Astyanax mexicanus: one gene and its partners. The protein of the gene in region 3 interacts with the protein of the main gene of each other region in a pairwise test. Links are inferred from orthologs where the notes say so. Each region holds a gene or a part of one and is shown on either strand. Other genes may lie near its edges. The genes, in order: cluap1, ATR-interacting protein, cyclin-dependent kinase 2-interacting protein and fas-binding factor 1 homolog.

What was found.
Region 1: the proteins of cyclin-dependent kinase 2-interacting protein (region 3) and cluap1 interact in binary tests that used the Homo sapiens proteins (3 or more experiments, as listed by UniProt). The two-hybrid records come from large-scale screens. The link is inferred for Astyanax mexicanus from reciprocal best matches to the Homo sapiens genes CINP and CLUAP1.
Region 2: the proteins of cyclin-dependent kinase 2-interacting protein (region 3) and ATR-interacting protein interact in binary tests that used the Homo sapiens proteins (3 or more experiments, as listed by UniProt). The link is inferred for Astyanax mexicanus from reciprocal best matches to the Homo sapiens genes CINP and ATRIP.
Region 4: the proteins of cyclin-dependent kinase 2-interacting protein (region 3) and fas-binding factor 1 homolog interact in binary tests that used the Homo sapiens proteins (3 or more experiments, as listed by UniProt). The two-hybrid records come from large-scale screens. The link is inferred for Astyanax mexicanus from reciprocal best matches to the Homo sapiens genes CINP and FBF1.

Annotation. Positions count from the first base shown.
Region 1 is NC_064413.1:14,771,931-14,780,120, reverse strand, and holds the start of cluap1 (clusterin-associated protein 1 homolog), read left to right. Parts: upstream 1-5,174; 5' UTR 5,175-5,255; intron 5,256-5,313; exon of another isoform or gene 5,314-5,462; intron 5,463-6,760; 5' UTR 6,761-6,822; coding exon 6,823-6,844; intron 6,845-8,157; coding exon 8,158-8,190. Other genes in the region: wdr90 (WD repeat-containing protein 90), read right to left, coding at 179-291, 424-491, 803-929, 1,026-1,196, 1,523-1,661, 2,168-2,344, 2,677-2,768, 3,740-3,752. UniProt on the Homo sapiens protein: Required for cilia biogenesis. Appears to function within the multiple intraflagellar transport complex B (IFT-B). Key regulator of hedgehog signaling.
Region 2 is NC_064431.1:12,683,835-12,691,130, forward strand, and holds the start of ATR-interacting protein, read left to right. Parts: upstream 1-3,941; 5' UTR 3,942-4,229; intron 4,230-5,156; exon of another isoform or gene 5,157-5,447; intron 5,448-5,811; 5' UTR 5,812-5,825; coding exon 5,826-6,141; intron 6,142-7,145; coding exon 7,146-7,225; intron 7,226-7,296. Other genes in the region: si:dkey-42i9.4 (protein BTG1), read right to left, coding at 1-110, 1,656-1,773. UniProt on the Homo sapiens protein: Required for checkpoint signaling after DNA damage. Required for ATR expression, possibly by stabilizing the protein.
Region 3 is NC_064421.1:48,598,817-48,606,560, reverse strand, and holds the start of cyclin-dependent kinase 2-interacting protein, read left to right. Parts: upstream 1-4,281; 5' UTR 4,282-4,408; coding exon 4,409-4,415; intron 4,416-5,564; coding exon 5,565-5,736; intron 5,737-6,246; coding exon 6,247-6,379; intron 6,380-6,624; coding exon 6,625-6,754; intron 6,755-7,744. Other genes in the region: adprs (ADP-ribosylhydrolase ARH3), read left to right, coding at 1-47, 140-347, 1,273-1,460, 1,710-1,810, 2,839-3,209. UniProt on the Homo sapiens protein: Component of the DNA replication complex, which interacts with two kinases, CDK2 and CDC7, thereby providing a functional and physical link between CDK2 and CDC7 during firing of the origins of replication.
Region 4 is NC_064410.1:17,740,906-17,748,689, forward strand, and holds the start of fas-binding factor 1 homolog, read left to right. Parts: upstream 1-4,448; 5' UTR 4,449-4,925; coding exon 4,926-4,928; intron 4,929-5,261; coding exon 5,262-5,295; intron 5,296-5,384; coding exon 5,385-5,429; intron 5,430-6,923; coding exon 6,924-6,981; intron 6,982-7,102; coding exon 7,103-7,166; intron 7,167-7,247; coding exon 7,248-7,298; intron 7,299-7,689; coding exon 7,690-7,784. UniProt on the Homo sapiens protein: Keratin-binding protein required for epithelial cell polarization. Involved in apical junction complex (AJC) assembly via its interaction with PARD3. Required for ciliogenesis.

The DNA of each region.
Region 1 (8,190 bases), on a different chromosome or scaffold from region 3:
TTTTTGGGTTAGTTCGATTTTATCAGCATAAGTGATGCCAGGTTTCTGTAATATTTAAATTATGTTAACTTAATTTGTTCAGCAGGAAATGCAGTTAGGTTTTACAGTGCAGGGATTCTGCAAAAAGCAACACTACAGCAATTCTTTTAAACAGCAGTCTATTCACTCTCTCACTGACAGGTTTGGGTGTGGTAATCTGCTGGATGAGGGAGACGCGGTCCTGCACAGGTTTGCTCAAGTTCACACTGCGACTTTCTTCTCGAATAGGACTCTCAATGAGCACAGTCTCTTCTACACAGAGAAAAAAAGGGATGAAGAAAAAGAGAAAGAGACAAATTACAGATATTTAACAAGCCTTTTTTGTATCATGTATCTGCATTATTTAAGTCTAGTGCAGCGCAACTGTACATTTGTAACACTCACTTGGAGTTTGGTTGGTAAGGCCTTTCTGTATAGAATCAAATGGCATCTTCACACCATCTGTGGGAAACCTTTGAAAAATATGCAGGATTGTGCAGGATTATTTCCATGTATTTAATAGCACAGTCATATTAAGGAATGTGAAGAACATTCACATGGCATTAAAGTCACATCGAGACCACAGAAAGACAGAAAAACTGAATGCTAAGTTAGTTAATTAGTTGACTATCTTAGCCCTGTACAGCTTGTACCTTAGAAAAACACTACCATGGCTAGATGCAGCTTTTTATGGCTCTAAACATGGATCTTCTGTAGCATCATTTTTTATTTAAATTAATTGAATTAAAGAGTGTTGTATTAAAGAATTATATGTATAGTTTACCTGATGTAGTCGTAGAGCTGATGCCAACTGCTGCCCTTAGGCACAGGGAAACACATCTCTCTGGGCATGGGGGCTGTGCCTTCTGGCAACATCACACCAGCCTGTCGGAACTCTGAGAACGACAGGCCTACAAAGAAAGATCGTAAGAGAGCAAGAGCAAGAGTTACAATGTTAAATTGTGTTTAAAACTACTTTATAAGAAAAGTATTTTAATTAAGAGTACCTGGGTCCAGCAGCAGGTCACTAGTCTTGAGGTTTTTCACCGTCATATTGGAACAGAGTTTGATGCTCTTCAGGTGACTGTGTGTTTTGTTTAGATAGACAGAAAGCACATACCGCAGGTCCATCATCAGACATGTCCAGCGCACAGACGCCGGTGCTGGACCCACCAAACCTGAAGCACACATCAACACCACAGCAGTGTGGACTGTTAAAGCACTGTTAAATATACAAAAACTTATATATGGGCCCAGACGTTCTATCAGTGTAACTTGGTCACGATTAAATGTAATTAAATTATTGAAGAGAAAAAATTTATAAAGTAAGATCCTTTAATTTATTAACTTAATAAAAAACATATATCAATCATGTCTCCAATTATTTTCTTTGCTACTGCAAGTGATTTTATTACGTGTGTTTATGAATTAATTTTAGCACATTTAAAAATAATAATAAACAAAGTAAGAAAAGAACAAATTTCTTCCGAAAGGTAGTGTTTACCATGTTTAGCAGATTTGGCTGTGGTTTCATAGACAGAGCCCGAAGCAGCTCCACACAGGAAGGGAAACTGCAGCCATGTTGCCGTAGACTTAAATTCCTTGAACAGGTTGGAGAACGATACACGGATCACCTGACCTTCCTGAACCAGAGTAAAAAAGAAGTTAAACAGTTAATTCACTGTTTATTCATCTACCTAAACTCACATTAGTCACGGAATATTATAGATCTGGGCGATTATGGTCTAAAAAAAAAAAAAAAAACGTTTTTTTTTTTTTTTCCAATTATAATTTCCCCCTACTAAAAATCAAACTAAAGAAAATGGTTTAAGACCCTGAAGTTTTTAGAAGTGGTAGGATTTAATTCTAGCTAAATATAGGCTTTATTCCACCGGGTGTTTGTGTCAAAAGTGCTGAAACAGTGCTGGAACGATTTACGGTAGGAGCTCAGTCCTTGGCGGAATGTTTAGAAAATATGCGCGGGTTAGTCTGTTGGAGGCGCCAATAACCAAGATAAGATGGATAAACACTTCAGAAATGAGTAGCGTTTTCGGATATTTTAGATGAAAACGATAAAATAATCATGAAAATCACCCAGCACTAGAATATTATAATGCTCTCTGACTACTCCTTTTTACATTACTCTCACCTCAGAAGCAATGTCCACGTGCACTACAAAGTGTTTACTGGGGCTGGGTCTGAACAGCAGGTAGAGGTAACGGCCTGTGAGCCCCAGTGATTGGCTGCTGGTTCTGGGCAGGAGAATATAGTTGCTGGCTGGAATGGAACCGCGAATACGGAACACCGAACACTTCAGAGTCTTGTCCTTTACAACACCAACAAAAAAACAAAAAACAAAAATTAAATTAATCAATAATCAACAATATCAATGTGTTACCCCAGCTGACCACCAATAATGACAGACGAATGTATGATGTATTCTTATTGAATGGAAGTCATGACGTTGAGGTACCAAATTTAATTTGCATCCTAATTTAACGTCTGTACAACAGCTTCATTGTAATTTTCAACTAAAATTCAACGTCTGTCTGATGTTAGATTTCAATTTCTTGCGTTAGACTGATATCCACTGCCTTCAGTTATAGGATGTTACTTCACTGAAAGACATAAACACTTGATATGACAGTAGAATTTTACCATGTAGGTTGTAACATCGCCTTCTTTGCTGGCCTTCCTCCATTCCTCCAATTTTAGGTGCTTAAAGACATTAACATAAGGATGTTGCCATGCTAGAAGGAAAAACAATGTAAACACAGAGGATAAGAAAAAAAGAGATTCAGAGGATATCAATATTCACTTGTTCAAGATTACGTAATCAGGAATAACAGTATATACAGTGTACTTCAATTAATTGTATTTTATATAGAAATTAAACAAAAAGATTATTCAAAAAGTACAGTGAGACTCTGGTCTGTATATAAACCAGGTACCTAACAGGAAATGTTGACATAATGTAAAGAACACATTTTGCATACACATTACGAACATAAATCATTACACAATGTTATTTAATTCCATCCAGCAGGTGTTTCATTAACTAGCCATAGTTACCATCCTACTGTAAACTAGTTAACCTAACTATCTAGCCAGTTATCATTGTGTAACAGTTGAGAAAAAAACTTTGACATCTATCAGTTGAAAAAGATTACCATGTCATTTCTAGGGCTTTGAGACTTCAGTGGATCACAGGGAGAGCTGTTATTCACAAATGGAGAAAACATGGAACAGTGCTAAACCTTCTCAGTAGTGTCTGACCTACACAATTACTTCAAAAGGCCATGGACAACTCATCCAGGAGGCCACAAAAGAACCCAGAACAATATCTACAGAACTGCAGGTCTCACTTGTATAAAGTATAAAGATTTGATTTCAAGTAATTTTAAGCATTTCCATTGATCTATTCATCAGGAAATGTTGACATAATGTAAATATCTGATTTCACATACACATTATGCACGTAAATATTTATACAATTTTTTTTATATTTGTTTCAGTAGCTAGCTAGTTACCATCCTACTATAAACTAGTTAGTTAACTTACCTGGCTGGGTTATCTAGGCAGTTATCATTATGTTCACTGCAAGTTAAATGATGAGGGTTCTGCTGACAGTAGCTAACTTGTATTGACAGTGCAGCATACCCAACCTAGATTAGTTATTTAGAATAAGTGCTAGCTAACTAACAGTGTGTGTAAGTCTTACCTTTTGAGGACATTGTAAACAGACCGAGATTAGCAGATTGTAAATGGGTTGATATCAGCAGGCTAAAAGCACAGACGCTAGCGCTGAGTTAGCTCTAACTTTCACAGTTAGCATATATAAATAAATATATCTATTTGTTTGTTGATGTGCTCCGTTCCAGGCCAGCGTCACATTTTAAACTAAAATCCTTCATGTCTCAGGAAGCTTCATATCCTTCGCAGAAGTTTGTTTGTGTTGTTAAAGTGGTTAAAGTGCTCTCTCTCTCTCTGCGCTCCGGCTGCTCATGTTTTGTTGTCAGACTCAGGTCTCCTCCCGCTGCAGCAGCCGCCGCTTTCAAACGGCACTACGCAGCGTACCCGCAAGGCATACTGGGTAATGTAGTTAATACACTGATGTACACTCACCATTTACATTATAGTTTCAGTGACATGTTTAACCTTCACACTGTTTTATTTTCAAGAGCTTTTTTATTTTATTTTTATTATCTATTTTTAGTACAACACTAGTACAAATGTACAGCTATTTGTGACTATATTACTGCGACATAATTACAGAAACATTGGATTGGAGGGAAGAAGGCATAGCAAAATACAAACAATAAAAAGTAAAAATTACATACAAATTCCAAAAATAGAGCACAGGTTCCATATTTTAACAGATTACTGTTTACAACCAGAAAAGGGCATCAAATAGCATTCCACATCTTTGATAAAAACAAACACAGTATATGCGTCAATATATATTGCCAAAAAATGTAACCAAAACACAGTTTGGGTGCATACTTCTTTTTTGCGGTTGTGGTTATTGTTGTTATCATCTTTCTGTATTATGTTACAAAATAGAGACATCAAAAACAACAGAAACAAAATAATAAACCCTCTTTATTCCCACTCCCCTTTCTAGCACATACAGTCCAAACCCATAAACACACCCACATACACCTGCGTATAAATGTGTACATACACATAATATTGAATGAATAAATAAAAGTGTGCAAACATTTTTGAATGCAAAAGCTTCTTCCTGCTGAATTTTGATGATCAAATTAGTTTACTATATAATTTTAAGAAAACATAAAATATATTTAAATAAAATAAAAATAAAACAATATTACGAAGCATGGGCATTTTAACATTTAAGTAGTCTATAGTTAGTGAAACATTTGATTAATAGCTTAAAAATATCAAAAAGTTCCCTTTCCTCACAGGCAGAAACTTCCCTTGATTTGGTAGTTAAAGTGTGAGTAACTTAAAAAAACAAATGTATATATATATATATATATATATATATATATATATATATATATATATATATATATATATATATATATTGACAGATTATATTTTTCATTGTTAAATCGTGTTTTTACCATTGCATCCCATGAAATCTCCGTAATCCGTTCTACTAAAATGAGAATTTCTGCTTTGCGGTAAATGATTTCCAGTCAGTTTGTCCTCTTGCGCTTGCCGTAGCTCACTGTCGCTGCCATAGAGACGGCCTGGGCCGCAGACGCTGGGTATGTGTGTTTATTATCAGATATAAATTTGCTTTTTAAACATTACTTACAGGATTAACTACTAAAAAAAGAGCTAAATATATATCCTATGTTGGCTGTGTTTTGATACAATGAGTAAATACGAGCAGAAGTCTAATGCTGCTAATATCTGCACTTACGAGCAAACTGTGGCCCAGGTAATCTGATAACCGTTAGTGAAGCTAACAGGTAACCAACCTAACCTTACCTAATCGAACCTAGCTAGCTAAGCTAACGTTTTAATTCAGTTTAGACTCTGAGTATTAAGAAATATATACACTAAAGACAATGACTGTGAGAGTTGGGTTAAGTTACTAGAGAGTAAGGGTTAGCTAGTTAGCAAATAACAGACCAAGTTTCAGTAAGGTTATCGCTGTTTTATAGCTGTAGCCCACATCTAGCTATTAACGTTACATCTAGGCTGGATAGCTTGGGGACACTAGTAGTTAACACGCCTAAGCTTGCTGCCTCTTCACAGTGCCACACTAAATATCCTTTATGAATAATGAGAACAGTAACCTAGGTTATTTAATATCATAAATGTTCCCCCTAGGCCTGTCACCATATTAAAATTGTGCTTAATTATATTTATTAATATATTTATCGTATGCTGGAAAAAGACCACAACGGGCCGACTAAGTTACTTTAAAATTATATAACGTTAGTTGATTTAAGCATTTTTTGATGATGATGATTATTATTATTATTATTATTTAGTCATTTTCAAGTTTCAATTGATCTATTGTTCTATTTAAACTGCTTATTTAAAAAGAGGGTTTAAAGCTGTGAACAGTCTGTGGACCAGTTAGACAAATACATGTAAAAAAAAAAAAAGAAAAAAAAAGTAAAATCAAAATGTGTAGTGTGTAGTCAGGGTGTGTAGTCTAGTCTCTCTGTAAGTTATAAATATGTATATGGGCATTGGCACATATATAGATTTCGGACGTTTACATTGACCCAGAGTTCCAATTCAAAAAATATGAAATTGAGATGTTAGAAAGGGATTTATTTCTTAAAGGAAATGTATATAGTTTATTGTGTATGAAACCTAAATCTCAGAAATAAAAAGGTGTACCATTACAGGTGTACTATTTAGATAATTAAGTATTTTGTTTTTATTTATTTACGTTTTGGAATATACTAAAAAAATATAGCTAATGTATTTTCTTTTAGAACAACAAAGTAGTGGTTATTCTGTGTAATTTGCTCTAATGTATATAAGTTGGCTGTAAGAAACATTTTTAAGTGCAAAATCATTTTCTATGTGAGCTGGTATTTCAGATGTACTAGGATTAGGATGGATTAGTTGTAGACTATATATTCCTTTTGATGTAAAATCTACAAAATCAAAATTTTATGTAGTCCTAGATTAGGTATAAATCCTGTTTGGGAAACTGCCCTTTTTACACTTCATTTTATTCCAAGACTGGATATACTTTCTTAGTGGCTCAAATTGTTACTAAATTTGTTGTTGTCTTTTTCCATAGGGGACTGAGGAAAGCCTTCAATTATTGGTAGAGAGATATTTGGAAAAGGAGAAAAGGCAACCATGTCTTTCAGAGATCTAAGAAGTAAGCATGATCAAATATATCAAATTATTGCTATAAAAACCAACAAAGTAAAAACCTGTTTAAAATGAAAATTAAAAATGGCATTCAACAGGCACAATGCAAAATGAGTGGCACATAGCAAACCTTGTGTCAAAATGTCCTCAATTGCTGAGTGACCTTCTCCCCCCAAAATATTTAAATCTTTGCTACAGGTCCAAAAATAGTGAACAAATGTGCCCCTCTGTGTCTGGCAAGTGAAACATAGATCTGATCTCTCTGTATCTATCCTGTGTAGTCATACTGGTAATAAGTAGATTCTGTGCATGAACTTCATTTTAGGTTGCACAGGCTTAAAATTAAGTTCATGCAAATAAATTGAAGTACACTGGGGATAAAGGTTTACACAAGCAGAATCCCATAAGTTTTGCTCCGATTCCATTTCCAAATCTTTCTGTCAAATACCCTTCAAGTTTAGCAAAGAAGACAGAGATTCGTTTGACAACATAATGTATTCCCTGTCAGATTCATTCACAACCCCCATTATATAGTAGAGATGTAAGGAAATGTCTAATTTAAAGATATCTGGAAAAACTATACCTCTTTAGAATATTCCAAAAATGCAACAAGACCCCAGAAAACAGAACAGAAATCTGTGTGATTCCTTGACTAAACCAGTTAAGGAATCCTGTCTCATGCAACTGAGAGGGACATTTTGGATTAAGTGCAAATGGGGAAGACCAAAAGAAACGGTTAGGTATTTCCAAATCAGCAGAGTGTTGGATATACCAAAAGAATCATAGACCCTTTTCAACTTTTCACATTATGAATAAATGGTAAAAGAGGGAGTGAATGTTATGGACTTCATTTTAACCTGTAATGAGTCAGTCCTATTGGTACACTTGCTTATAATGTGTTAAACCTGAGTTGACCAATAATATAATCGCATGTTTGGTAGCAAGAAAAAGACAAGAAAAAATATTAATTCTCGAAATATTTATCCTGCCAAGCAAACATAATAGGAGAGAGAGCACCAGATACCCAGATCAAGGGGGGATAGTTTTTAGGTGTTTACAGCAATTACCAAATAGTTAAATTCAAAGCCTTTTCCTAAAATTGTATCTATCTATCTAAAATATTGGCATCTGAGCATGTGCAAATGTGTAGTCTGTGTGAGTGTATTTTCTTATCGTTAAACCCAGTTTTTTGGTAAACCTAAAGAAAGTCATGTGCATTCTATTGATGATTTCTTGGATCTGATGAACTAATAAAGCTTTATGTATGCATTGTTGTGAGCACTTGTTTGCTAGTTTGTGTGTTATTGTTTGTTGCTGCAGGTTTTACAGAAATGATGCGTGCCTTGGGATACC
Region 2 (7,296 bases), on a different chromosome or scaffold from region 3:
AGTGAGGGCGGCTTTACCAATCAAAGGGTCCATCTTGTGATTGATCCTGATGCACCTGTAGCCTGAACCTCGGCACGGAGCATCTGGAAACCAGTGGTGCTGATAATGCTCTGAAATTAAGAAAGATTGTATAGTTAATTTCTGTTCACCATTCTTTTTGTACATTGTTGCAATATTGCAACACTGTCAGATCGTAGGATTGTGGTAGTGGAGTTCAGGACTGTAAATTGCTAAGAAGTTTCCAATAAAATAAAGTGTATATACACACTTTTATTCATAAAAAACATTTATGTTTTGCTCTTTTATGAGTAACATTACACATAGAATAGAATTAAATTTAATTTAAAAGAAAAAGCTTATTGTCCACAATGTGAAAAAAAAAACATTTACACGAAAATCTTCAATAGAAACAAACAAGAATTTGGACAAATGTTTTCATTTTTAGATAATACTGAAATCAATATGGTTAACATAAGATCAAAACTTATGAAAATATATATTAGAGCTTCTGGCAGAATTGGAGTTGCATTTGGTAGGGCTAACTAGTTAAGCTATGAACAGTACCCATTTAAATTTCTAATGCACAAAGCTTCTGTTATTCTTAATTTTTTTAATACAATCAAATTTGAGTTTCCTTGTGTTCTCCTAAGAACAGCATCCTTTCTGAGTAAACAGCTAAATTCAATTTAAAAGATTAAATAAACCTCAATTTTAAAAACTTTTTAGCCTTATTTCAAAGTGTATTTAAAACAAAGCTCAGACAACCTATAAGGCAAAGGAAATATTTTTCTTAATAAATATGCACATTAATGGGTTTAAATGTAGCCATTTTCTTCTGTTCATTACACTTATTTTGAGAGAGGTGTATTTTTTTATTAATCAAATGTTCAATAATAGTAGTCATGTGTACCTTCTTTTCATTTTATGTTACTTTTTGATGCCAGTCTTTATCTTCACATGAAATCTAAAGCAAAACTCAGTCCTTTTCCGTCAATTTATTTTTTATTTTACACAATGAGATTTGACATTACTTGTGTTTTATTGATACTCAGTGATTTTTTAAAAGACTGGATGTAATTTAGCTTTATTTCAAAACATATTTTAAAACAAGCTCAGACAACACACAGACCAGAGGAAATGATATGCTTAAAATATATATACGTCTATGTAAGGGGTCTGTAGTTCTTTTGTTGTTTTCATTACGCTTATTTCGAGACAGGTGCATTAATTATTTGGAATTTTGTTTACAAAATGACTAATCAAATGTACAATCATTACTAACCTTGTCATATTATGATGCAAGTAATTGTCTTTACATGATGCCTAAAGTAAAGCATTGTTTTGTTTCATTGTTTAGTACTAAAACTCGGGATATTCATTTATAGACAAGTGTATGTTTTTCATTATCTTACGTTATGATGTTCTTTTTACCAAACAGGCTGGATTTAATTTGATATCTTATGTAAAATTCACTTTTCAGACACTTTTTTTGGAGTTAATGTGTTTTATTTGAGCCCAAGTAAGAAAGCTTAGAGACGGTATAGACCAGTAGATATTGACAAATGAAACATATTCATTTATAGACAAAAAGAACTGCTTAGGGAGACTATAAAGATTATTAGCAGTGTTTTAACTGTAAATACTGTGTGTTTTACCTCCTAAAGCTTCCTCTAGAGACAGGCTGAAGTGGTGCAGCTGCTCCTCTGAGAGAAGCCCAGTCCCTCTCAGCAGTGTGCTAATGAAGTTCACAGCCGTGGAAACCTCGGTTTTCATGGTGAAATATTATTTCTCAAACTGTAAAACGATAAGAACAGGGGTTAGGTGTGAATAAGAGAGTTATTAGAGCAGGTATCAGGGCTAAGAGAGGGAAAGCTGGGTTCAGGGATCAGGCCTGCAGTACTGCTGTTGCTGCTGCTGGCAGATTTTCCTTTGTTCAAAACACGAAGAGAAAACGGCGCTAAAACAGCACTTACAGATTCCCGCTCATCCAGCTGCGCTGTAGAGAAGCTCCTGCTTTTCCCGGTGTAACCCTTTGACCGCTAAAACCACGGAAAAGTGCAAATTATCGACTTTTTATCGATCTAAAACTTCTCCCCGTCCCTCCACAGACCAACTGCCACACTGCTGGAGCTGCTCAGCTGGTAAACACCGCGAGCGCTACAGCAGCGCCTCCACCAATCAGCTGCCGCCGAAGCCAACCGCGTCACAAACACGGTGTATTTACACACAGCTCTCTCATTCATTGACTATTACCTGCATAATAATAATAATAATAATAATAATAATAATAATAATAATAATAATAATAATAATAATAATAATAATAATAATAATAATAATGAACAACGCAGGACAAACCAAAATGTATTATGTATTTCTTAACACGTTATATAAGCTCATTTCTTTTTAAAAAAGTGATTTATTCTCAGTTATGTGTAATTTCTGTATGAGGTGTTTCATTAAATCACTAAATGATGACATTGTTGTGATTGTTCCCCATTATTTTCCCTAGTATTATCAAGGCCAAACACTGATAATTTATAAATAAAACAAATGGCCAAAATCAAAACTGCTGTAAAAAAAAAAAATAGACTGTAAAAATATGTATATGTGCACATCTGTCTCATCTGTCTATTTAGGTAAATGGGCATCCATTAACATTAAAACATTAAAAATTAAAGACCAGTGACAGCTTTGAACAGTTTGTTTTTAACAGTTTTGTTAATTTTGCTTAACTATATTGCCCCTGATGAAGCCCCTAATATGTTGTATTGTGTATCATCTCATAAAAATAGTGAATATATAGAGAATTTTTTACTGAATTGTATTAATTGTCCCCTCAACTAAACAAAACGAACTAGTTTTTTTTAGAGCCATTAAAACCCATTGCATTAAGCTCTTTATGTGCTACTCTTCTCTAGCTAATCTGAAGACCACATGGAGTTTGGCGGTCTATAGTGGCTGATTCTGCAGAAAATCTGCTGGCCCTGTTCTGTTATTTTATGTTGACAGAGTGAGCTGCTGTTTCCAGTCGCTTCCACTTTATTATAACACTGACAGTTGACTGTGGAATATTTAGTCGTGAGGAAATTTTATGACTGCGCTTGTTGCAGAGGTGACATCATATGGATGCCTAAAATGCCTATGGATGCTTGGTGTATACACCTGCGGCCATGGAAATGATTGAAACATGAGTTCATTGATTTGCATGGGTGAGTGAATTGACAACAAGGTTGTGGGTTTGATACCTGTGTTTTGCAGGCCACTACTGTTGGGCCCTTGAGGAAAGTCCTTAACCCTCATTGTTTCCAAGGTGCCGCAGCAATGACTGCCCACGTGTGTTGTCACAAAACTACTATGCATGTTTCTGAGTTTCTCTGTGGTCAGTGTACCATTTCTAAGTTAAAATGTTCGGGCTAAATCAGAAAACAGATAATTGGGTGTAAAACTTCATTATTTCTTTAAGTGTAGAAGAAATGGGTTTTGTCCATTTCCCAATTTTCTTTAATTTGTTTCTTCTTCTTGTGCACCTGCAGAATCAGATGTATGTATCTGTAATCAGGTAAAATGTATATTTTCTTTATTTTCTTGCAACAAAAGTAATTTGAGTTATATCATTACATTTGATACAAGATGTAAAAATGGAAAAATCTTAAAATTGAGAAAATATCAAATTCTCCTAAAAAATTTGTAAAATTGTTTCCGAAACACAAAAAATGCTTGAAAATTAAATAATAGATACATATTTTTCTTTACTATTTTAAATAGAAAAAAATAAAAAATATATTTGAGATTTACACACACATTTCGAGTATTTAACTTCAAATGGTCAGAAAATTAAACTGATAATAAATGTTATACTGACCCTCCGTGCACTGACCAATTAGATTAGCCGATTTTCCTGCATCATTGCTGGAGACTGCGGAATTGACCAATCAACAGCGTCCATGCTTGACTGCGCTCGAAACAAGCGGCGCCTTCTCCCTCAGAGATATTCATCCGCTGAAGTTCAGCTAGTTTTTCTGAACCTGCTGCTTTAGAGAGCTTTCAGCCGTTGTCCAGTATGGCCGGTCCGAACCCGGCTTTCTGTTATAAACTACATCTGCAGATGTGAACCCAGACTCGCGCAGTAAAATGCTGGTTTTACTAGAGCTGGAGTTAGCCGCTGCTGTACTCTCACTGTTAGCTACAGGCTAACCCGCTCCGAATTAACCTGCGCCTCTGTCTCAGTAAGTAACTAATACACATTACACTGAACTTATCTAACAGCTTTATTATACAGTATTTTATCTCCTCTTACTCCTGTTAAACTTGGCGACTCTCCGCGCTGCTTTCTGTCTGTGAGCTTAGCTAGGTCAGTTAGCGTTAGCTAGCATAGCATGTGTTATGAGTCCCACAAAAAGACAATAGTATCAATTTATTCTCCTTTCCTTAACTGGAGATATTAGAGATATTAGAGAGAGGTTAACATATTTAATAAGGTTTGGTAGTTAACCATTATAAAATCACCTTTGACCCTTTTTTATCTGAAATTTGTTGAAACTTCTCAGTCCACCTTAAAAAGTGCAGCAGTTTTATTTAGGCACATGTATTTTTTTAAGGTGGAATGGACAGTTGGACTGTGAATAGGACTGAATATAGCTTAACCAATGCAAGTAAATGTTTGATGGGCTTATGCATTTACTTTTACAGTTTTTATGTGCCATTATTGTAAATAAGAACTATACGTTTTTAATGACACGCCAGGTGAAATTAAAGGTTTAATAAAAAAAAAACAAAAAAACAAGAAATCACTTACATATTTGTTTAAACTAACATCTAGGCAGTTGAAACAAATTAAATAACTAATTAAATAACTAGTAATGTCAAAATACTTCAAATACTTTGAACACAGTGAAGTCTTATTCATATTTTGCATACTGTGATGCAGTTAAGCAGGACAAATTTACTGTAGTACTGACAATATCTACATTAAATAAAAAAAAGTGTATTGTGATGTAATGCCTCACAATAACAATATACACTGCTCAAAAATAAAGGAAACACTAAGATAACACATCCTAGATCTCAATTAATGAAATATTTCAGTTGAAAATCTTTTCATCATATGGATCTCATCCCTGTACCTAATGGCAGTCTGGGTACCTCTGGCTAGCTGTGCGGCCTTCCAAAAAAATTCCTCCCCACGCCATTACTGACCCACTGCCAAACCAGTCATGCTGGAGGATGATGCAGCAGCAGAACATTCTCCATGGCATCTCAAGAGCCAATAACAAATCTGTTAATCTTGGCGTTTTCTGGCAAATGCCAGTCACCCCGCATATTCTGGTATCTGCTCCATGCTCTGGACACTGTGCTGACAGACACAGCAAACCTTCTTTTAACAGCTCGCGTTGTTGTGCCATCCTACATGAGCTGCACTACCTGAGCAAACTACTTCCTCTAGGGTGAGCGCACTAACAAAAATGCAAAAATGACCAAAACATCACCCAGAAAGCATGAGAACAGAGAAAAGGTGTGTAGTTGCCACCTTCAGAACCACTACTTTATAGAGGTTGTCTTACTAATTGCTTCTTATTTCTACCTGTTGTCTGTTATATTTGCACAACAGCAAGTGAATTTGATTGTTTTCTCAATGGTTGATTTTAAGTTAGACTGTTCTGTTTTACTGTTTCCTTTATTTTTGGAGCAGCGTCTATATTGCCACATATTAGCTGTTTGCTTGATATTTGCAAAATCTTTTTGGATATTTGACAGACCTCTATTGCTTTAAAATGTACTACATTCAACATGTTCTTTCAATTTCCACAGAAGCTTCCAATGACATGGAGTATCCTCCAAGCAAACGCCTCAGAGGCCCACAGAACACAGCTCCAGTGGAGCAGGACCCCTTTGGGGATGATGAGGACTTTACACAGGATAACCTGGAAGAGATTGATATTATAGCATCGCAGGCTATTACAGGAGATGGTCACCTTACAAGTACGAAAAGGACATTTGCATCCATTTCATCACATCCAGCAGAGCAGAGCAAAGCCCCCGTAAAGCAGGGCAGAAAGACTTTTGCCATCGGGAGCAGCAGCAGCTCAAGCACCAGCAGCATGTATAACAATATGGAGCGCCAGCGCCATGATTCATTCGGTTAGTATAAAAAACACAGAAATCCAGTATGCACATACTGTATTCACCATATCTCCAAATGTTAGACACCTGGTTACCCAGTGTTTCTACTGAAATCAAGAGAAATAAAAGGTAGATTGTCCCCCTTTGCTGCATCAACAGACTCTGCTTTGCTAGGAAAGAAGTACATTTCTGTGAGAAATGTATTGCATTTACCATCACAAGAATATCAGTAAACCATATCTATTACTTTGGAAAATGCTGGATCACAGCCCAGGGGTGTGTGCATGTGTGTGTGGAAGGGTTTTACAGTGTTAGGAAAAAGTTTGGTAAGCATTTTAAAGATTTTGGACTGACATCACTGTGGGCAAGCCCACAAAGCACCTGAGCACACTTTTTTAAAATTAATTACTTATTCATTTCTTAATTTTTTTATGTGTATGTGTAGAAATAATACAACTTTATAAAAACACTTATGCGACTGTAGAACCTATATCATTACTTATTGTGAACAATTTAAATAGATAAATAAAATAAAATGAAATAAAACATATAACAGAAGGCTTTTTATTTTTATTTCCACTTTTATTTGATTGGCAAATATTTCACATAATGTAACAAATGTAGTATTTTCTCAGCAATGAACAGAAGTTTAAACATCCACATTTAACAGGATGACCATCTATTTGCTGACTGTTTGCAGCAGCTGTAATTGGCTAGGCAGTGTTAGGGGAGTTGAAAATGAGAATGTGATTGGCTCAGTTTTTCAGTATTCAGCATCCTATTAAACGGGATCAGCTGTTTAATTTACAAAATTACTGCTCATTTTCTAAGATAACAAATGTGCAAAATTAATGTCAGCCGAAATTATGATGATGTAATTGTCATAATAGGCCATACGTTTTTTTTTCGTTTGTTTGTTTTTGTTTTTTGTGCATGGATGCCCTGATCACTATGGTCACAGTATTATAAATACTGTTGTAATAACATACTCCAGAATACTCAGCGTTTTCTTTGTTTTGAAGGAAATGGTCAGTTGTCTAAAGACAGAGATGAGCTGGATTACAGCAGACTGGAGGCTCAACAAGCAGAGTTAAAGAGAAAGGTATTTGAACATTAATCGATGCCATTGTGATTAATATACATAATTGATTGAAAGCCTCTGTGTGTACTTTT
Region 3 (7,744 bases):
TCACTGCTGACCCGGGTGGGGTTTGATGAGCAGGACATGGCTCGCAGGTATGTTCAGATATGGCGTCAGTTTCAGGACTGTGCTTATGTTTAGTTGTGTTTTTATTTTCATTCTGTTACTCTTAATTCTGTATTTCCAGTTTTGCGAAGGAGTACAGTCTCGCCCCGGGCCGGGGCTATGGGTCAGGGGTCATTCAGGTGTTGCGGAAGCTCGCGTCTCCTCAGCTCAGCGACGTGTTTCAGCCGGCTCGGGCTCAGTTCGGAGGACGTGGATCATTTGGGAATGGTGGAGCAATGAGAGTGGCACCTTTCGCCCTCGCCTTCAGAAGCGCAGCTGAAGTGCGGAAAGTGAGGCCTAATATTATTTAATTATATTGTACACATATTATACACAATGGCTAATATTAGAGCAGCTGAGTGATAAATATATGACTTAAGGCCTATTACAAAGCACTAGGGGTGGGCGATATGGTCCTAAAATAATATCACAATATTTTATGGTATTTTCGCTATACGATTTCGATACTCTTGGCGAAATGAATGAAACACTGAATTAAAAGAATAATTTTAAGAACAGGTTTGAAAGCTATCCGCTCCTGTTGCTATGTGTGGGGTTGTGTGATTGGTTCCTTTGTTTAACTTTATTTATGAATGCTTCGACTTATCATATTATCTCCTTTTCAGTATATTTCCAGGCCTGAATAAGTTTTGGAAAAATAAAAATACCCAGTTTTTTAACTACAAATCTTTGTGTTGCTGTTTTTTTTTATCTATCAACGGAGAGAAGCTATTTTGAGCTAACAAATACATCAGCTCAGAATTAGTTAAGTAATTAAGCCCTGCATGATGGAGCTCTCAGGATTCGACACACATTTTATTATTGAAAATTGTGTATTAACATTGCTTTTAAATTAAATTAACTTTAGGCCTACTGTAATCTATTTTAATTATAGTTTTAGTTAATTTCTGGTTTATTGTCCATGTCTGCACGGATGTTTTAGAAATTGTATGGTCATGAAAATTTGCCTGAAAGGCATGGAAAAGACATGTAAAATCATAGATATTTTTCAGTTAAAAACTGTATGAACCCTGACTGTAGTAAAGCGCAGCTTTGTGGAGTGAGTGTTTGTACTGACAGCATATTAACGGAGCCCGAATTCGGTCCTGGATGCGGAATTGAGCAGAATTGAAAAATATATAAAACGTCATAATGATAGTTATTTAATTGTAGCTGAATTATAATTGTGAAGCTAATGTTTTGTGTGTATGGCAGTACTCCAGGCTCGGTGCGATGCTCACACACTCCTGCTCTTTGGGCTACAACGGCGCCGTGCTGCAGGGTCTCGCTGTCCACCTGTCTCTGCAGGGCGTCCTGTCCCTGCCACAGGAATTCATCAACAGACTCATCTCTGAGATGGAGGTCGTGGAAAAAGAGGATTCGGCCCAGCGTGACGCTAAAGCGTGAGTTATTAACTCTTCATAGAACTGTTTTATTTGTGTTGTGTGGAGAAGGTGATTACAGCAGTAAATAGAAAACATTTATAATACTGAGAAGTATATAGAAATAGTTAATTACATAAGATTTCTGATAAGACTAATAACCAGGGTTTGTACGGGTGTTTGAAATCCTAAAAAATGCTTGAATTTTAACGTTCTGTTTTTCGAGCCTTGAAAGTTCTGCAATATTTATATATATATATTATTTTACAGGCTGAATTTAGCAGAGTTTCCGTACTGCGCACGATTACACCGAGTGAAGGAGCTGATAGAGAGGAGCAGCGTGAGCGTTGAAGAGGTCATATCCGAACTTGGTTAGTATCTTGTTTGCTCACGATGTTATTTCTTTGTTCTTATTTCGTTGTTTGTGTGCTGACTGAGGCCACCATGATATCCTGTTCAAATGTATAGTAATAAAATAAAATAAACAAAAATAAAAAAATAGTTATATTACACTTCTAAACACTTCTATACTCATATACACAAGGTTCTATAGTACAGACAGTTGGAGAGATGTTATTTTCATGAAATTCTGTGTTCTTATTGATACCATTATTTAAAATTAAATCAGATAAATTCACTGAGCATGGCTTTAAATATTTAAGATTAAAATCATGACGCAACATAAATGACAGAACAGCAGTTTTACTGCTTGGATTTTACATTGCATTCTTAAAATCAGGTCTGAAGTAGTTAGGTATAGAATGTACAACTTTTAATTAAACCATTTAAAAGGTAAAATGTTAGAACAGAGCTGTAGAAAAAATAAGAAGCTAAAATACACTTTCTTTTATTTGTACAAGTAGATAGTTTTATCACCAGCACTAACCCACCCAGCACACCTACATTCAGCGTAATATGTCCCCAATGGTTTTATAGGCAACTGTGGTCCCAGCTACCTTGAGATCATTAACAAGTTCCCTCCTTTGCAGTTTTAGGCTGATCTGTTACCTTCCTCATGATGAAGGATGCCCTGTAGGTAGTATTCAGGTACAGTAGGTCACTCAGCCTGTAATTTTCTCAAAGGACGTCTGTGAAGCACATACATGGTCGTTCTGGACGGGAATAAAATCACAGAGGATAAAAAACCCCCAAAAAGAGAAAATCATCCCAGAACCCCCTGAGAAATGCTGTCTTTAATGCATGTAGTGAGTTAATTTGGAGCGTCTAACTGGTCTGTAGGAGCCTGAACTCTTAATGGTTGGTAGGGGATCAAATACAAATACAAATACAAATTGTGTAATAAGTGCAAATAAGTGCATATGATTTATACTGTGTGACTTTTTTTTATTTTTATCTCTTTTCAGTCTTTGTCTTGTGCTAATAAGCTCTCTGTGTGCAGGAAATGGCATTGCAGCACTGCAGTCAGTCCCCACAGCTATCTTCTGCGTTCTGCACTGTCTGGAGCCTCGGGAGGGCCTGCCCGAGCGCTACGGTGGCCTGGAGAGGACAATAGCCTACAGCTTGGCCCTGGGAGGAGACACCGACACCATCGCCTGCATGGCGGGCGCCATTGCCGGGGCACACTACGGCATCGAGGCGGTTCCCCGGAGCTGGCAGATGAGCTGCGAGGGGGTGGAGGAGGCCGATCACCTGGCGAAGCGTTTTTATAAACTGTACCAGTCCCAGTCCTCAGGAGACGCAGTTACCATGAGCGACAGCAACCAGCCCCAATCACACGCCAGCAACCAGCACCCCACACACACCAACTGACCCCCCGTCAGAGATCCGGCACAGAGGGTCTCCCTCTCTCATAAAGCTCAATCATCGTGGATTATGATTATGTCTCTGTTGTTTAAAAAGGTTTACAATAAAAGAATAAAAGCACTTCCAGTGGTAAACTGGCAAACTGCTCAGTAATACTGTCCTTCTTTCAATAATGTAGAAACTACTGCAAATGAACATCATGGCTACGTTCACATTACAATCTGATTTAACACGTTCACACAGCCATGAAAAAATCTGATCGGAGCAGAAAATCTGAGTCACTTCAGCTTCACTTCTAATGTGAACATCGGCCATGTGTATTTTTCTATTAGTAATCTCCATGACTTCCTTTGCAATAGACATGGTTTGTTTTTTTCTTTTTTTGTGTATTCTTTCACTTCACACAGATTAAGACTGTTGAACTGTTCAATATATATTGAACTAAAAAAACACAAATCACTGCACTGCAAATAAACAAATAAATATATTCTATTCTATTCTTCAAGATTTCCAAAAGCCTGAGAGCAGACCTTTTTTGAAGTAGTGAAAATCATACACAAAATATTGTCTTTAGCATTTAACTATTAAGTCTGGTAATAACAGTATCACCAGAATTTCAACCAAAAATCATGATTCTTTGGAAAAAAGTGGTCAAATTTAGTGTTACGGATTTTTTTTACCTCCACATTTGTAGATAGTTGAAATTAATATTAATATTAATATATATATATATAATAAAATAAAAAAAAGGACGAGAGAAATTAAATAAAAATGTAAAAGGGCAAAAGTAAAACCAGTAATAAAACAAAATAAAGGGATGATATGAATAAAAAGGCTAAAAGGTAAAATATAAAATTTGATAAATAAAAAAACAAAAGAAATGAAAAGGGTAAAAGAAAAAACTCAACTAAAACAGTTACAGGCTGTCTGGAGGTGGCTTGAGAGAGAAATTTTAGGGACTAATACAGATATACAGTATATTTTATATTATAATAGTACATTAATATGGGTGTTTTTTATATTATTTATATTAACTGGTAATAATAACACGGTGTAAAGCGGGTCTGTGCTGTAGGGGGCAGTAATGAGTTTAGTGTGTAATGAGGAGGATAGAGAGGAAGAAACAGGTCCGGCATGCAGTGAAAACAGTTTAAACAGGATTAAAAATATAATTTTCTCTTTATTAATGAAACAACCGAGCAAAAATGAACGGTAAGAAAACCTTTAACTACCTTTAACACTGAAATGTGGTTAGTGTAATGTCTGTTGTTGTTTCAGTGTTGAATAATAGCAGGAGTTGTAATAAACTCCTGCTATATAAACACTGTTTTTACTCACTGAAATGTAGAGGTGAGTAACCCAGGTCGAGAAAGTAAAAATCCACCCCGGGGTTTAGTACTCACTGCCTGGGCGGCTCTGCTGCAGCTCAGCTACAAAACCCTGGGGTGGATTTTTACTTTCTGGACCTGGGTAACCCACCTCTACTGAAATGTTATTTTTAAGATGCTGTTTTTTTATTTTTTTTTTTTCAGATGTAATTATTCAGTATTTCAGCAAATTTTGGGAAAGTATATCTAGATATGTTAATTCAATGTTCTAGATTTTCCACAAAGGCTGAATTACTGTTATTATACATAAGTGTGAACACAAGCTTAAAAAACAGATTAAGGTGTGGAAATTAGACCCTAATGCGTGGCCACAACTTATTAAGGCATGAGAATGAGATTCTTATGCGTGGCCATGACTTAATAAGGCATGGGAACGAGATTATAATGTTTTTTTGCGTATGAATGAGATAATTAAGAGATAATTAATTACTAAGGCATGGGAATGTGATCCTAATGTGTGGCCATAACGTATTAACTCTCGGGAATGAGAAACTAATGTGTAGCCACAGCTTATAAAGGCATGTGATTCAAATAATTAAGTTGTGGCCACAACTTATTAAGGCATGAGAACAAGATAATAGAGATAATTAATTACTAAGGCATGGGAATAAAAACATAATGCGTGGGAACAAGATGTGTGGCCACAACTTAATAATTCGTGGGAATTAGATAAATAAGTCATGGCCAGAGAGTAATAAAGCATGCTTATCTGTACATTAATGCCTGTAAAGAAACTGAATATTACATCAAAGTTCCTTTAATCCAATAATAATCTTTAGTAAGAAAATAAAGAAAAAATGTATTATTTTTTCATAAATAAAACATAGTATTCCTGTGGGTTTTAAAGCCTTTTTTTTCATATGACCTGATAGTTAACATATTTTGCCTTATACTGTGTTTTGTAAGCTTGTTTGCAGCATCATCCCTAAATACAGCTGTTTTTTCTTCTATGTAAAAAAACGTGTTTAATCAGAAAAACACTCTGAGGCCACGCCCCCTGGAAGAAAAGGCAATTTAACTGGAAGCGCAAGAAAACTGAAGGACAACGCTGCAGACTGGCACAACCTGATCCTGAAGTGGGAGCGCCTGACTGATGAGGGATCGGCCATCGCAAACAAAATTGTCAACTACAGAATAAGTGAAACGTTGGGTTCTGTTTTTGAACATAAATGTATATAATATTTACAGCAAGAGCACTTCAGTTTCTGAATCAGTTTCTGATTTTGCTATTTATAGGTTTATGTTTGAGTAAAATGAACATTGTTGTTTTATTCTATAAACTACAGACAACATTTCTCCCAAATTACAAATAAAAATATTCTCATTTAGAGTTTTTAATCACAGTTTTTTGTCATGCATCTCTGCATCATGTTCTCCTCCACCAGTCTTACACACTGCTTTTGGATAACTTTATGCTGCTTTACTCCTGGTGCAAAAATTCAAGCAGTTCAGTTTGGTGGTTTGATGGTTTGTGATCATCCATCTTCCTCTTGATTATATTCCAGAGGTTTTTAATTTGGTAAAATCAAAGAAACTCATCATTTTTAGGTGCTCTCTTATTCTTCTACAGAGCTGTATATATAAAGTATGTATTTTTCTGATGTGTCTCTGTTCAGATTTTCTGCTCTTCATGTTATCTGTTGTTTTGGGTACAGGTCTGTGAAGGAACCAGATATAGTGTTGGTAGATGAAGGTTCATCAGAAGCTCCTTCAGAGAGGAGAGCGCACCAGAGCAACCCGGAGCTGGAGGAGGAATGCGTCAATCTACAGAACATTGTAGATAAAATGGTAAGATTCTGTAAATCCTATTAACTTTATTTAACTTTTCAAATATCACTGTGTTCGTCTGCTATATGATATATTTAACTGAAATTACTGATCCCAACAACCAATGATGTATAAAGGAAAATCATTAAAGAAAATTATCAGGGGATTCCCAAACGTTTTCATACCACTGTTTGTGCAATGCAGAAGTAATTATGATGTTTTATGAATGCTCTGTAACATATAGTTGTGTATTCCTATCTCCAAAGGCCCACATTCTGCTGAAGATGGAGAAGATTGTCTCTAATGAGAGAGGAGTGTATAATTTGGAGATGTTTCAGTTTGGAGTGCAAGGAAGACCAGCGCCACTGTTCCAAACCTGGTCTACCCAACAGTTTGGTAAGAATAATACCAACACTGAAATAGGGTTAATCTGGACTCAATAGGCCATCACTTGACCTTCTTTAATTGCTCCAGAGTCCAATCTTTAGGATCTCTAGCAAATTAAAGCCTTTTTACTGGTTATCCTCACTGATTAGTGGTTTTCTTAAAGCTACACAGCTTTTATCCCTTCAGTTCCCTTCACTGCATTGTGTGCATGGAAAAGCTCTTACCTTCACTATTACACAACATAGCCCTGAGTTCTACTGTTGGTGATTGCTGATCACTATCATTCAGGACTTTTTTTTCCGGGCCACATTTCTTCCTCGTAGATGATGGGTCTTTTTTAAGCATCCAGTTTTTAACAATAAAGCATTGGACAGTTATTACCCCAATTTTACTAGTTTCTGCTAAAATCTCTTTAGATGTTTTCTCTGCATTATTGATGCATGATGCCAATAATATTTGACCCTTCTCAAACAGTTTGACATCTTTTCCACGAACACAGGATCGCAGTATATTTCCATATGGTTGTTTAAGAAAAGAGAAGCAGCTCATTGCACCAGTTGGGAGTTATAAGACTTTAAGATAAATCGGCCATGCAGTAATTATTATCCAATAGGAGGCAGGGTTATTAAAATATATCATCACTTAAATATGATGTTTCCTTGATTTTACCAAATTGAATTTTTGCACCAGGAGTAAAGCAGCATAAAGTTATCCAAAAGCAGTGTGTAAGACTGGTGGAGGAGAACATGATGCCAAGATGCATAAAAACATTAAAACTGATTAAAAACCAGGATTATTCCACCAAATATTGATTATTTCTGAACTCTTCAAACTTTATGAATATGAACTTGTTTTCTTTGCATTATTTGAGGTCTGAAAGCTCTGCATCTTTTTTGTTATTTCAGTCATTTCTCATTTTCTGTAAATAAATGCTCTAAATGAGAATATTTTTATTTGGAATTTGGGAGAAATGTTGTCTGTAGTTTATAGAATAAAACA
Region 4 (7,784 bases), on a different chromosome or scaffold from region 3:
TAATTTGATTTGAAAAATCTTTATATTTTTTGTTCCTTGAAACATTTTGGAGATGCAGCTTTGAATCTGTAGATGCAGACTATAAATCAAAAGCTATTATAATTCATTACATAACATCCAATAATATTACAACCCACAATAATATTTCTTTGATTCCCCAGCCATGCAAAGGCTTCATTGTCAGATTAGCCTTTTTTGCTTTTTGGAAGCCAAGATGCTAATGAGATTTAAGAACATGTGAGAAAGGACAGGTGATTCTGTTGAATAAATGATTTTGTGATTGATTTTTTTGAATGTTGACTTTTTTGAATGAGTGTACAATATTCACAAGGAACTTGATTTACTATTAAATTAATAGAAATATACATTTAATTAAACTTAGATTTATGTTAGTATTAGACAACATTATTTAACAATATGTTAACTTTTTTGAGATATTGTATTTTTTGCACTATAAGGCGCACTTAAAATTCTTTAATATTCCCAAAAATCGTCAGTGCTCATTTTAATTTTGTGCGTTTTACTTTTAAAGAAAGTCTTTTTATCACGGTTTTGTTACTAGGTTAGCTTTACTTAGCTTAGTTAAGTTAGCTACCCCTCACCACCACCCAGCAGCATGGTGAGTGAGACGTAAGGTTTGTTAGTCACACATGAGGTTGTGATCAGTCACAGGCATTAAGTTAAAGGCCTGAAGGATGTGAGGGTCAGCAGTGCTTAAACCAGCTGCTACAGCCTGCAGCCGTTCACTGCAGGATCCCTACATTGTGATAGTAAAGAAAACTCCCATAGCTACATTTCTGAACTTCTTTTACAAATTTCAGCTAATCAGGTCGATATTTCTCTAGGTTTTCTGGGTGATGGGTCATAATGTGCCAAGGCTTTAAGGGGCTGGCACAATTTTAAACTAAAGTGCTATAGGGTACTCCTGCATCCCTGCTTCTTCAGTACCATGTGAAACAGTTTTCCCTTTTATTGGCAAAGTATCTCACTAGTATCAGTAACACTGGGCTAAACTGGGTCAATGCTAAGGATAACCCTGGATATAAAATACAGGACAATAAAGTGACATGTTAAAAAAAATCATACAAAATTAAAGAAGAAAAGGCAAAAGAACTTTAACATAACAGCTCTAAAAAAAAAGCTCTAAAGCTGTGCTCTAAAGTGTCTCAAACTGGGATAAGCAAACTAAACTGCATCTAAGAAACAGAGCACCACACTTCCCTGCACTTAACCACTAAACAAATATGTGTAAACATAAAACTAAAAGCTAAACTATGCTAAGATAACCAATATACAGTACATAGCATGGAAGCGGCTAATTAAAAACCATATGTTTTTCCCAAAAATAGGGATTGATTGAGTCCATGTACTGTGGAAAAATATTGTTTCTAAATGAAAATAAAGTCAATCTTTAGAAAAGCTGCAACAGTTTTAACATAACCATCTTAATCATATTGGATTTATTTTAACATTAAAATCAAATAAACATAACATAACATAAATAGATCTCTACTGGTATTTTAATCTCAGTGTCTTCATGAGGTAGAGTCACCTGGAATAGTTCCTGGTGGTGCTGAACAATATTTGCTGCTTTTCCTTTACGCTGTGAAGCTCCAGCTCATCCCAAATCTCATCTGATCAGGTTTAGATCAGGAGATCGTAGAGGACAAACAATTTTAATGTTACGTAATTCCATATGTGTCCCTAATTGTTTTCATTTAGAATTAATCTACAATGTATAAACAAATTAAATAAAAAAAAAAAAACCTTTGAATTAGAAGGTTTGTACAAAAATTTACCTGGACCTGGAACACAGTCACAAACATACAAAAAAAATAAAGTTTTGCGCATAACAACATTAAATCATTGTCAAACCAGTACACAGTACACAGTTTTGAAAAGGTTTTATAATAAAGTAGTATAGTTATCTAAATTTTTAACTGGAACACTGTCAATTATGATGTAACTTATTTCCCAGCTCTGATATCAGACTTTCGAGTTAAATGGAAAACAGTATGAGCGTTCTCATATCTGCTCATATCTCGCCACTCTCACAACCTGGCATGAAAAGCATTTATAGCTGGAGGGAGGTCCTTTAACCCCTGTGACCCCTGGAGACGTGCAACTGCCACGCATTCCAAGATTCCATCAGGCCTGTCTGTGCAGTTCTAATGCAGATGGCTAGGCTGCTTTGTGTTCGTTTGAGACTGTCCTTAGCCCTTTAAGACATGATGGTTACTGTAAGAATCTTTAGAGTTTTTAAATCATGTCTGGGTGAACATTTTTTGGATTATTTGATGATAATTTTGAGCACATAAACCAACCTCCATAGCAGCGTTCACCAGTATAGTCTATGTTTTCTTCTGAATAAGCAGCTTTTACAACACCATGACCATCAAGACCAGTTTGTACCAATAAAACCAGCTACCAACTGGTTTTGAGCTGGACTGTCAGCAGGTAAACTGGGTACACAGATTTCTAGAAGAATAACAAGTTTTGCCTTTTCTGTTGAGGGCTGAATAAGAATAACTGTGCTGCCGTCGCCCCCTGGTGGTCCCAGCAAACAGTGCCAAATATAAATCAGTAATTTAACAGATTTCAAATTAATGCTAAACATTTAACATTAACTTCAATTAATTGTCTTTCCAATCTGACGTTAATTCCTCATCACTTTTGCACACTCAATTCATATTACATTTACATCATTTATCTGACGCTCTTAACCAGAGACTTACAAGGTTATTCCTATTACAGAGGTGAGCCAATGTAGTGTTACGAGTCTTGCCCAAGGACTCTTACTGGTTGGTGTATTAGGAACTACTGGTGTACCAGGAATTAAACCACAGTCTCCCACATTATGTGATAGCTCATAAGCAGATGGTGGTGTTATGCACTGCAACCACATATTTCAAAACATGTTGATTGTAGTCCTGTAATCCATAATTTTGTTTATATATTTTTCAATTAAAAAAAATGAAATAATATTGACATTTTTAGAAAAATAAATCAACATAAAACAAACTATGTTAGAAATTTTAAACATAAAAAATGTATTACTGCATAAGAAAATTGTAAATCACTCCTGCTTTATGTACAACAGGAATTATTTTATGAAAAACAGAATAACAGAATAGCTAAACAATAAAGAAAATAGAATTTTAAAATGTGACCATTTTACTTTTGGTACTCATTTCATGAAATAAAGTAGGTAACTATAAATGCAAATAAATATATCTGTGTAATTAAATAAACAAATAAATGTTTTTTTAATAAACCCTTATTTATTTTACCATTCACACTTTGACATAAAAGTCTGATAAAATTAGATAATTAAATACATCATAGCATGACTTAATGTTACATCAATGACTTAATCTTACTAGCTACATGTTTAAATACTGAAGACAGGCAAGTGTAACATTTGTCAGTTCAGTTTTCTGACCACTTGAGGCTAAATTTGAAAATAGAAAATTGTGTTTTTGTTTGTTTTTCCAGTTTTTACTGTTTCCATTACTGCCTAAAAATTAAAAAATTGAAGTGAAATTTTCGCATTTATCCTCAAAACGTCAGAAAGCTAAACTGATAAACAATAATAATAATTTACGAATTGATTATAACCCCTGTTGTAGCGGGAAATGACTGTGAACCGCTAGAGGGAGCCCACAAGTTAGCCCTCAATGAGTACTGCAGCTCTGAACATAATTATTGACCACAGAATTTAATAGAGGCGATATTTTAAAAAGCTCATTCACATTCAAGCCATAGAAAAAATTCAGCTTAGACACGAAACCCCAAATATGGGCATACAAGGACTAGAGAATGACATGACTGCAGTGGTGTATGGAGGTGAATGGAGATAATTATTTGAAACTCAAACTAAAAATAGTATACTATCTACTTGCCCAGGGTATATATTCCTTAAAAAACGTACCCGTATGTTTACTTCTTTTTTACAGTATGTTTTAGGCAGTAAAGGAACTGTATTACTGCTACTGTGAGCTGATGGAATTACAGCGAGAGTGCGTTTTAAAGCTTTATAGCTGGCATTTGAAAGCTGTATTTGAATGTCTGATGTTGTTTAGTGATGAGAAAACGAGTAAACTCTTCAGTATAACAATGATTCAAACTGTACAAACTCAAAAGGGCCTATTAGTTGGGTATTCTCAGAGAGAGAGAGAGAGAGAGAGAGAGGAGAATAATCCTCAGATCTATTTAACTGTTACAGTGATGGAGACATAATTTTTAAAGATTTTAAACTTTAGTTATAGGGCTTTTAAATATGCTCTGACTGTATCTCCAGCATCAACTCACCAACCAATCAGTGCCTAAAAATATAGGGGTATGGTTTATTTGCTTCTTTTAGCGAAATAGATTATTCTAATATCTAAAACTAAAGGAATATATTTGACAGGTGATTAAACTGACTCCGAACTACATTACCCACAATTCAACACAGGAAACACATAGCACGTAGCACAAAACACAGGGTTTAAAAGTGTAGTAGAGGACAGCAGTCTGTAATCGGCTGCAGGACCGGCGATTTTGGGATAAAATTAAGCAAGTTCGTAGCTGCTTCCTTTAGCATGACCAGTAACGACTAGGTTCAGTTAACTTGAAACTACCTAACCTAGCCTAGCCTAGCTTAGCCTAGCTGACTAACTGACGCTAGGTAGCGTTAGCTAATGAACTAATGAGCTAACCAGGTGTATTATAGTGGAAGAATAGAGGCGGACAGGGGAGCAGAAGCCTGATATCTTCAGTCATTTTGATTTATGGAGAGAAGAGGTGGCGATAAAGCGGGATAAATAATTATAGAAGAGCGGAAATGTGGGTTTAGCCGGACATGCTGTTGCCAATGGCGACATGGACGCTCAGGCTGCTCTGATTTACTCTCTGCGGGCTGAGCTGAACACTGCAGGGAGGAGATGGTAAGAGTCTCACAGCCTCTGTTTACTGCACAGATTCACTGCATATCCTCCACCGACAGACAGCTAGCAGTGTAACCTGGCCCTCCTGAGCTACCTGAGATCATGATATAGATAGATTATGATTATGGATAGGTCAGGATATAGATAGACTCATATAGAGACAGATATAGGGATACAGTAGCCTGGAAGGACTAAGTTACTGATCTTTGATTAAGAAATAACAATAAATGTCAACATTTTATTATACAAAAATATGTATATAATAGTAAGTATTAGTATGAAGGATAAAGCATCATATTAACTATAAACTTCTCTTTCTTTTAACCACTGCAGAGTTTAAAGCAGCAGAAGAAGAAGGGGCTGAGGGGTAAGTGCTTCAACTGTAGGACCACATACACAACCTGTTACAGCCATCATACTGTGTTCATACTGAGTCCAGACTTCACCTTGCTTTAGGGTCAGTTGATGACGTGTTGGGGGATCTCTTGGGAGACAGTGATGGTAAGATTCCTGTGTGTTATTTGTATAACTTTTGCATAAAATGTAAAAAGAACTTCTGTTTATCCCTGTGATTCCAAATGTAGAAGGGGGAAAATATATTTAGATTTTTTAAAATATAAATCAAGTGTTGTGGTGGTAACAAACATATTGGAAAGACTATTTTGTTTTTAACTAATTTTACTTACATTTTACAATATGTGCACTTCAGTGCACAACAGGACTTCGGTAATCACAAATGTGAACATTGACAAAATTCAAGAGCAGATTATGAAAACTGAAAGCTCGACAGAATTCGTTGTAATGCCCTCAAACAATTCTGCTGATGATTTGGGTTTAATATTAAGAGAAGAATATGAGATAAAAGATCAACATTTTAGCTTTTATTTCCAGGTATTTACATCTGGGTCTGATACACAGTTGACAGAAACATTGTGCATGCTGTAAAGAAAGGGACAAAAACAACTGTTTGTGACAGGAGGGCAGGAGGGAAGCTATAACAGTCTTCATGAACAAAAGTACAGAGGCTTTACCAGATATGAAAACCACTAATTAACAATAAGAATAGGAAAGCCAGGCTGGAATTTGCCAAGAAGTACAGAGAGAAGTCTATGGACTGATTATAGACTGATGACACAAACATTATCCTTTACAAAGGTGATGGAAAGGCTAAATTTTGGAGTAAAAAACTTATTAGTGAAACACAGGGGTGAATATCTCATGGCTTGGGCTTGCATGGCTTCTTCTGGGATTGGGGGGATTAATCTTCATTTGATGTAAAGGGTACTCAGAAGTCTACTTTTTTTTTTTTTGTCAAATTAAAGAAAGATTTAACTAAACGAATTGGGAGATCCTTCATCACGCAGCAAGATAATGACCCAAAACACACTGCCTGCAAGAGCATCACAAAAGAAGAATGCAAATGTTTAGGTAATGTCATTGGGTCACCGTTTTGATGCAGTTATTAGAAAAGTTAGAAGAGTGGCACAAAATTTAATTCCCGGGTCTCAGGTGGATAAGCTAAAATAATAAGAAATAGTACAACAAAACTCCAGAAATACTCAACGCAAAAGTTTGTCCTAAAAGCTGAGAGGTCAGCCTCCTTTAATCACATAGGATATCAATAACATTGTCCAACCTTTCAGCAACTGACAGCTGCATACCTTCTTCCTATCATAATTTGTCAGATTGTCTCAGATTCTTTCTCTTCTCCATTTTCTTGCTTCAACACATCGACAGTCACTGCCTAATATATACCACCATTTTTACAGGTTTGCTACTGAAAGCAGGAAAATGTGTTTTTTTATGTTGTGTTATGTTTCATGTTGTCAGTGTAAATAAATGTTAGTACATTGCAATGTCAGATTCCCTGTGTCAGTGCATCCTTGTAGTGTACATTTGTGCTTAATTTTGTGAAAAACTAAAACCCTTTTCATTTTAATCTGCACTGAACTTCAGTAAAAAAATGTATCTGAAAAAGTGCTTTTTGCCCTCTAGATCCTCCCAAGAAGACCAGATCTCCCGCTGGAGTCCTACCATCACGCAGCAGCAAGAGGTGAAAATATATATTTCTAATTTTAATAAAATAAAGTTATACATACCTTCAAATACACATACTTTCGAAATTATCTATATACTTAAACTGATCTGTCAGGTCTATTATCTGCTGAAAACAGGTCTCTGCTGGATGATGATGATTTCTTCAGTAAATTGGCGGAGGAGGCGGAGAAAGATGATGAGGTGAGAGAGTGGTATTATTTTTTTAAGTGGCTTAAGGAAGGTAATTAAGAGAGATAAATAGTGACTTGTGTTGTTTTGCAGGGTTCTGATGTGTCTGAGGCAGATCCAAAGGCTTTGTTGGAGAGTATGAAGGTGGTCGTCTGTTTACTTTTTAAAGTTATACTTCAGAATTAAATGTGCCTTAAATGTGCTAGCTCTGAAATGATTAACCATAGAATATAATGATATTTTAGTAATTTCCAATTACTTTTAGCAATTTTTCCATGTATTATTATTATTATTATTATCATTATTATTATTATTATTATTTGCATTATCAGTTTAATTGTACATAATTATTTTAACTGCTTAAAGTGTCTGCTTTATCATTGGGAATGCTAGCCTTCACCCATACCCAACATAGCACGGATGACACGTCTGACATGTCTTGACGAGGGGATGGGAAATGGAAATGTCTAAAATACGGAGAAAAGAAGTATTTATAATTGTGTGTGTGTGTGTGTGTGTGTTTTTTTCCCTACAGGACATTGATGATATGGATGCGGATCTGTTTGGCTCAAAGAAAAAGCCCAGCTCAGCCCCAGCACAGAGTAAAGCCTCTGGAGCATCCAAACCACC